2 linked regions of the Ovis aries genome follow. The protein of the gene in region 2 interacts with the protein of the main gene of each other region in a pairwise test. Links are inferred from orthologs where the notes say so. Each region holds a gene or a part of one and is shown on either strand. Other genes may lie near its edges.

The links. The genes of interacting proteins can lie anywhere in the genome.
Region 1: the proteins of DISC1 (region 2) and CDK5RAP3 interact in a two-hybrid assay, tested with the Homo sapiens proteins (2 studies listed by BioGRID and IntAct). The link is inferred for Ovis aries from reciprocal best matches to the Homo sapiens genes DISC1 and CDK5RAP3.

Annotation. Positions count from the first base shown.
Region 1 is NC_056064.1:38,227,377-38,231,555, reverse strand, and holds the start of CDK5RAP3 (CDK5 regulatory subunit-associated protein 3), read left to right. Parts: upstream 1-1,379; 5' UTR 1,380-1,400; coding exon 1,401-1,406; intron 1,407-1,629; coding exon 1,630-1,675; intron 1,676-2,047; exon of another isoform or gene 2,048-2,089; coding exon of another isoform or gene 2,090-2,111; intron 2,112-3,385; coding exon 3,386-3,517; intron 3,518-3,796; coding exon 3,797-3,897; intron 3,898-4,179. UniProt on the Homo sapiens protein: Substrate adapter of E3 ligase complexes mediating ufmylation, the covalent attachment of the ubiquitin-like modifier UFM1 to substrate proteins, and which is involved in various processes, such as ribosome recycling and reticulophagy (also called ER-phagy).
Region 2 is NC_056078.1:3,814,005-3,818,177, forward strand, and holds the start of DISC1 (disrupted in schizophrenia 1 protein), read left to right. Parts: upstream 1-1,244; 5' UTR 1,245-1,319; coding exon 1,320-1,419; intron 1,420-4,173. UniProt on the Homo sapiens protein: Involved in the regulation of multiple aspects of embryonic and adult neurogenesis. Required for neural progenitor proliferation in the ventrical/subventrical zone during embryonic brain development and in the adult dentate gyrus of the hippocampus.

The sequences.
Region 1 (4,179 bases), on a different chromosome or scaffold from region 2:
ATCTTCCCAGACCAGGGATCAAATCCAGGTCCCCTGCAGTGTCAAGTGGATTCCTATCTACTGCACCATCAAGGAAGTCCAGTTCATATATTTTAACAAGGGCATTTTAATTATACACGGGACTCCCGTAGTTATCTTGCTAGTCTTTCCCGCCTGTTTTTCCCTGCACCTCGTTGCAAAGCCTGCAAAGCTTTGTACAGTCTACTCCAACCGGGAACACCACTCCCACATCTCCCTCTTTCTGCAGCTCTTCTTTTAACACTCAATTTAGGTGTTATCTTTGGGATGCCTCCTTTGACCCTCCTCCCTCCCCATCCCTGCCCTAATCACATAACACGTAGCAGGTGTTCAACACTTGTCTATTACATAAATTCAGTGAGAAGGTAATGTGCCAAAAAAGACTTTTAAACCATGATCCACGGTAAAGCGAGGCAAGTAGGGCGTTTCTAAAAAGACTCTTCTTGAGAGTCTCTTGGACTGCAAGGAGATCAAACCAGTCAATCCTAAAGGAAGTCAACCCTGACTATTCACTGGAAGGACTGATGCTGAAGCTGAAGCTCCAATACTTTGGCCACCTGATGCGAAGAGTTGACTCATTGGAAAAGACCTTGATGCTGGGAAATATTGGGGGCAGGAGGAGAAGGGGGCGACAGAGGATGAGATGGTTGGATGGCATCACCGACTCAATGGATATGAGTCTGAGCAAACTCCAGGGGATGGTTTACGACAGGGAAGCCTGGAGTGCTCCTATTCACGGGGTCGCAAAGAGTCGGATACGACTGAGCGTATCTAAACAACATCAAGTTATGGGCAGCATTATCACCATCTTCTACCCCACAAAGAACCACAATGCACTGGAATGTTTTCCTCTGGAATTGCATTTCTACTCTTGTATTCAAAATTTTTTCCCACTTATGTTCAAAATTAAAAAATGACATCATTAAAAAAATAAATAAATAAACAACATCAAGGACCTCTAGGTTCCTCAGTAGGCGCTAGGACCCTGTCGGCCGACTCGTTAATCTTTACGCAGAGGGCTCCGCGCCTGTCTGGCCGGGAGCGACTGGGATCAGCTCCAGGGCGCCGCCTGCTGGGATTCTGCAGCCTCTGCAGCCCTTTCCGGGCGCCCCAGCTCCTGCCAGGTCTTGAGCCCGCCTCGCGTCTCCCATTGGCTGGCTCCTCTTCTCCCGCCCTTCCCGGGCTCAGCCACTCGGAACCCCGGCGTGGGTGGGGCTTGAGGCCTGGGATGGAGCGCGCTTCCCGATTGGCTCTGAGGAAGGCGGTGACGTGGCCCGAGAAGACCCATCTGTGCCTAACCCGAGGCTCAGCCAGAACAGCCCTGGATTAGTGGTAGGCGGGGCGTGTCCCGGTCGGAGGCCGGAAACGGAAGTGGAGGAAAGATGCAGGTGGGGGAACAGCAGCTGGGGAAATGGGGGGCTGCCCTGGGGCCCCTGGGCTGAGTTCAGCCGGTCCTTTCCTGACATGCTTCCTCAGGCTCTCTCCGGGGGCGCCCTCCCCGGCCCGTTGTGCTGGCCCCACAGGGTGGCGGTTGGGGCGATGAAGTGAGCGCGCGAGCGGCTTGTCAGCTCGCAGCACTCACGCACCTTTCCCCGCCGTGTTTCCCGCCAGGACCATCAGCACGTGCCCATCGACATCCAGACCAGCAAGCTACTCGGTAGGAGGGGCGCCCCCGCTCACCTAGCTGTCAAGGGGAGACCTGGCCCCCTGGCCCTCTGTCACCAACAGCGGACCCGCCGACCACTCGCTCTGTTCTGTGCTCCCATCTGTGGCTGGACCTGCCTCAGTAAAAGGAGCGGGAAGGAACCATGCATAGAGTCTATACTTGACCTGTGTTTTCTATTTAAACGTATATAACATGTTGTCAGTCATGTATTTTAGGGACAGAGGAGAGTTGAAGGCTTGCCTTAAAGATGATCAGCTGCCGAATGGCAGATCTGAAGTTAGAACCTAAGTCTGTCAGGTTCCAGTATTGTATTACGCTGGAAAAAAAAACTTTCTTCCTTTTTATTTTTTCCTTTGACTTTAGGAGGAAAAGGCACGTAGGTCCAGTTGAAAAGAAAACCTTTTAATGGCCAGACCATCTCCCTGCTGTCTGTATCGCGTCTATATACCACCTCTCTAGTTCAGAGCCAGGGAAGGGCCTCTTCACTCTGACCCCTCTAGGGCAGTGCACAGCTCCTGGATTTTTAAATGGTCTTTGAATTAATTGTTTTGATGCCAGTTGTGTCATTAAGATGACATCTGTTTGACTGTGTCGTCCCTTTGCTTCCACTTCTGTGACATCTACATAATTTTTGTTTTTGGAGATTTTAGTGGAGTGCAGCAATGGGGATATAACTGATAACTAGTGTGGGCTCCCAGCATTTGACCAGTTAGCAGATTTCTTAACAAGGGCAAGGTGGCCACTTAGTGGAGCGTCTTTAACTTCATTTTGGATTTGTCCCAGCTCTTCAGGACCTGTACACTCTTGATGTATATGCTTGTTATTGGTCCTGAAAAGGACTGGTAAAAACCCAACCATTTATTGAGGGTTTATTCTATACCAAGTGCTGTTTTATGGGCTTAACATTATGAAAATGAAGACCACTACAATTCATTGAGCCCTTGCCATGCGCCAGGCATGATGTTCAGTGTTCTACCGTTTGTACTCAGTATATTTATCATGCCCATTTTACATGTAGAGAAACTGAGGCACAGAGAGGTTGAGAGACTTGCCCAAGAAAGTTGGTAATTAGAACCAGGACCAGCTGACCACAAAGTCTAGGTCTTAGCTCTCTCCTATGAGGAAATGTACATAGCTCTCATCCACCTATACCCTCAACTGAAAACAGATCTGGCCCAGAATCCAGGAGATCAGTCACACTGGTATCCATGTGTGCAGGATGGTGCTTCGCTGATAAGAGTAGACCAGTGTTATTTAGTCCTTAGGGGCTTTGCAGTTGTTCATTCATCTGGTATTTGGTGTAACCGACTTGTGTTTTTCATTGTCATGGTTAATCCCAGCCCTGAGAAAGTAGAAATTGAATGGCAGTAAGAAAGATATAATTATCCATGGAAGCAAAAATATCATGGAGAATTTAGAGTGGTCCAAAGTGTCACTTTGATGTCAGGACCAATTGAAAGCTTTCCTTTATCCTGTGTTGAGGCAGTTACTTTATAAAGTCACATTGTGGATAAAGTTAGGTTGCTGGAATCTGTTTAGCCCCAAGCATCCCTTTGAGCCTGTCTTCATTCCCATCTTCCCGTGACCCCCACACCTTAACCAATATGAGTACAACTTTTAGCCAATGCCTTAGCATATTTCACTTGAATCAGTGATGCAGTTTTGGCCATGGGAATGCTATGATTTGGGTTTCTGCTATAGACTGGCTGGTAGATAGAAGGCACTGCAACCTGAAATGGCAGAGTCTAGTATTGACCATCCGAGAGAAGATCAATGCCGCCATCCAGGACATGCCAGAGAGCCAAGAGATCGCCCAGCTGCTCTCTGGATCCTGTGAGTGCTTCGGGGCTGCATTACTGGACCCCCGTCTTTCTTGGGGTGGTATAAATCTGCTGAGCTGTTCCTCTTTCTTTAGTCATAGGACTGACCTCTAAAGAAAGAGAGGCTTTTATTTGGGGTATAGAGGCTGGTTTATTTCAACACAAAATGATGAAGGGGAGAGCTGTGCCCTCTAAAGTTACTGGCATATACATGAGTCAGCCATATGCGGAGGCTGCAGTGGTGGGTTAGAGACTATTATTTCCAAAGTCTTTGTTTTTCTTTGCTTTCCAGACATTCACTACTTCCACTGCCTAAGAATTGTGGAGCTTCTCAAAGGCACTGAAGCCTCCACAAAAAATATTTTCGGCCGGTACTCTTCACAGCGAATGAAGGCAAGTATGGGTGACGGTGGTAACGCGCAGCTGGAGGCATCCAGTCCAGGGGGTCAGAGGCTGTCTGGTCTCGCTGAGGTTCCATTGGAGATGCCCCCGTGGAATATTTTCTCAGCTTTCTCTCTGTCCCCATAGTTTATGCCAAAAGTAGATCCTGAAAGTGGAAGTATCAGTCGCTCAGTTGTGTCCAACTCCTTGTGCCCCTACGCCTGGGTTTCCATTTGCTTTAGGAATCGCTTGTTGGCACCATACTCTTAAAGTGGGTGGTCCAGCCAGCATTAT
Region 2 (4,173 bases):
GTCCTCTGGACCTCCTGGGAGTCAGTAAGTGGGTCTTATGTGATAAGTCTATGCTAATATTTCACTCTCCCTAAGCCTTTAGATAATTCCTTTACAGTGTACCAAGGCAGTTCTGGCATTTCCACATCATTTAGTGCTGGTCACCTCTTGCCTCCCATTTCTGTCAACTAGCTAAGCAAACAGCTTGTTCTAATCTCACAAACTGCGGTGAATCCGGATCTCTGCTTGGTGGTGACCGTCATTACATTCAGCCTCATCCAATGGTTCCCCACACTCTTCATATTAACGCTCACATTCATTCTGTCCCACAACACTCCGACTTCTAAGCATATATAGGTGTTTTCACTCACATGGTCCTGATCTTTTGAACGACCTTGACTCTCCTGCAGTTCTAGGACGATCCTTCCCCTTCCTCCAGGGAGCCTTTCCGACCTTTCACTGCCTCTTACCGCCCCTCCTCCCACTTCTACAGTGTTTCATGACAGACTTTGGCTCTTGCATATTCTGCTGTACGTCATGATTTAGTTTTACACGCTCATGTTTATCTTCCCCATAGGAGGCCGGGGAAGCTCCTTAAGGGCGAGAACCATTTCTGGCAGGTGCGTCTTCAGAGATGCTCCAGGAGACTCCTGCATGAATACAAGAGGAGGCGAGTGGGCTGGCTTAGGAACTCAGCACGGATCGCAGTTGTGTCCTGGGCTGGCTGCCCAACGTGGGGAGGCGGATCTGGGGCCAGCCCAGTGCTGCCAGAAGATTCAAACAGTTGGATCCTCATTTCATGTAGAACTACTCGCCCCGCTCTCTTTCCCAGGGTGAGCTGCAGTCTCCCCTCATCCTCCCCCCGCCCCCCGCTCCTAGCGAAAAGAGTCCCTCTCACTCCGTCCAGCTCTTCCATCAACCCTGTGGTCACTTCCCTAATTAGTGTCTGGGAGGAACCCTCCCGTCCCCCAAGGAGGGCCTCCTAGTCTCTCCCTTCCCGAACACCCGTCCTCTCCACCGCACTTCCCCTCTCATTTTCGTCCAACACCGAGGGAGAGTGAAAAATAAGCTCTCCGAGGTCTGTGACCCAGGCTGCGGGCTTGCGCGCCCCGCCCGCCCCAGCCGTCCGCGTGTGTGTGTGTGTGTGTGTGTGTGTGTGTGTGTGTGTGTGCGCGCGCGCGTGCCTGCCCCGAGGCTGGAGAGGAAACAGCCGGTCCAGCCCGGGAGGAGGAAGGAGCCTCCCCTTCCTCGCCAGCCCCCTCCCCACTTCCCGTCCGGCTCGGCCTTTAGCTTCCCGGACGCGGGCCTCGGGTGCACAGAGCCCTCTGGCCGCAGCGGAGATGGAGAAGGCGGAGGCGGATCGGGAGGAGCCGGCGGGGCGCATGCTGGGCGGGGCTCCCCAGGGCGCCCCGGCCGGTGGCGGCAGGGGGCACCGCGCAGGTAGGGGTGCTGTCACGGCCGCCCGGCGGGTCGGGCCGAGGGTTCCTCGGCGAGGGTGAGCTCTGTCCTCTGGAAATCGTTTAGGTCCGGGGTGCGCCTCGGTTAATATCTAGGGCTTCTGCACTCTTGCGGGGTGAGGGAAACTGAGGCAGGGCGCGTGGCGTGCCGAGCTGAAGTCTTTGTCGGGCCTGGGGCTGCCCGCCAGCGCCGAGCCGGGCCAGGTCCTCCCGGAAGACGGTGCTGAGATCCCGGGAGCCGCAGTTCCCGCCCCCGTGGGTCCCGGTGGCCGAGGAAGGCGGCTTGAGCGCGCGGCTGGGTTTCGCTGCGCCCGGGGACTGAGCCAGCCGAGGCTCGGGGCTCCGCGCGCCCTCCCCTGCGCACTCGCCGGACAGGGGACGCCCCGCCGCCTGGTCCGGGAACAGCGTCCTGACACCTCGCAGAGTCTCGGGTTTCAGCACTCGAGGACCTGGAGGGAGGAGGTTGGGGTGGGATGGGGGACGCGGTGCTGGCACCGTCCCAAGGGGCTGCTCTGCGAGCAGTTTCACCTCCCACTTCCTCCGCATCTGTGATGCCCTCGGCTGTCTCGGAGCTGGAGCCGGGGAGCCCCGGTCAAGCTGTCAACGCTGTCAGCGCTCAGCGTTGACACTGAGGCCGTGAAGTGCACAGCTGCTTTGCAGGAATGGCAGGATGTCCCCTGCCATCTCGCTTTTAAAATACACGTGCAAAGGAGTTTGAGACTTTGGGATAAGAATGAGATTTGGAGTGAGGGAGTTATGTGTCCTTGCTGGACTGGAAGGAGGCGGGTAACTTTGACAGCTTCTTGAGTCTTCCCCGGTGGCTCAGATGGTAAAGCGTCTGCCTGCAATGCGGGAGACCCGGGTTCGATCCCTGGGTTGGGAAGATCTCCTGGAGAGGGAAACGGCACCCCACTCCAGTACTCTTGCCTGGAGAATTCCACGGTCGGAGGAGCCTGGTCGCAAAGAGTCGGGCACGACTGAGCGATTTCACTTTCACTTTAGCAGCGCTGAACCTCGGATTTCATCACATACACAAAAGAACGCTGGTAACCTCCCCCCTCCCCATCTCGTCTGGATATCTGCTGTGTGTGAAAGCACTTTGCAAAATGTATGGTCAGTTGGGCAGGCAAATGCGATTTGGGTAATACCAGAGCCTTAAGAGCTGGAGGTTGAGACAGTTAGCTTGCATCTCAACCCTGCACTTAACTGTGTCTTAGTTGCCCCATTTATGAAATGGGACAATGACAGTGACCTCATAGAGTCGCTGTGGGTTTGACTGTGGCCATGGATGTGAACACCCAACCTGGTGCTGAGATACGTAGTAAGCTCTAAATAAGAGCCTCAGATGCTCTTTTCACTAAGCAAAACCCAGTTAATTTGGAGTGGTGAAAAAAAAAAAAAAACACAAACAAACCACCACCAGTTTGATTTGATTATAGTATGAATGTGTGTGTGTGTGTGTGTGTGTGTGTGTGTGTGTGTGTGTTCAGTCGTGTCTGACTCTTTGCAACCCCATGGATTCTAGCCCACCAGGCTCCTCTGTCCATGGGTTTTCCAGGCAAAAATACTGGAGTTGGTTGCCATTTTCTTCTTCAGGGGATCTTCCTGACTCAGGGATCGAACCCTTGTCTCCTGCATCTGCAAACAGATTGTTTACCACTGTGCCATCTGGAAAAACCACATCTCTTGTAAAGTATGAATCAGCTCAGTTCAGTTCAGTTGTTCAGTCGTGTCCAGCTCTTGGCAACCCCATGGACTGCAGCACGCCTGGATTCCCTGTCCATCACCAACTCCCAGAGCTTCCTGAAACTCATGTCCATCGAGTCGGTGATGCCATCCAATCTCATCCTCTGTCGTCCCCTTCTCCTCCCACTTTCAATCTTTCCCAGCATCAAGGTCTTTTCCATTGTGTCAGTTCTTCACATCAGGTGGCCAAAGGATTGAAGTTTCAGCTTCAGCATCAGTCCTTCCAATGAATATTCAGGACTGATTTCCTTTAGGATGGACTGGTTGGATCTCCTTGCAGTTCAAGGGACGCTCAAGAGTCTTCTCCAACACCACAGTTCAAAAGCATCAGTTCTTCAGCACTCAGTTTTCTTTATGGTCCAACTCTCACCTCCATACATGACTACTGGAAAAACCATAGCTTTGATAAGATGGACCTTTGTTGGCAAAGTAATCGCTGCTTTTTAATATGCTGTCTAGGTTGGTCATAGCTTTTCTCCCACGGAGCAAGTGGCTTTTAATTTCATGGTTGTAGTCACCATCTGCAGTGATTTTGGAGCCCCCCAAAATAAAGTCTGACACTGTTTCCATTGTTTCCCACCTATTTGCCATGAAGAGATGGGACCAGATGCCATGATCTTAGTTTTCTGAATGTTGAGTTTTAAGACAACTTTTTCACTTTCCTCTTTTACTTTCATGAAGAGGCTCTTTAGTTCTTTGCTTTCTGCCATAAGAGTGGTGTCATCTGCATATCTGAGGTTATTGATGTTTCTTCCAGCAATCTTGATTCCAGCTTGTGCTTCCTCCAGCCCAGCATTTCTCATGATGTACTCTGCATAGAAGTTAAATAAGTAGGGTGACAATATACAGCCTTGACGTACTCCTTTCCCGATTTGGAACCAGTCTGTTGTTCCATGTCCAGTTCTAACTGTTACTTCTTGACCTGCATACAGATTTCTCAGGAGGCAGTTCAGGTGCTCCAGTATTCCCATCTCTTGAAAAATTTTTCACA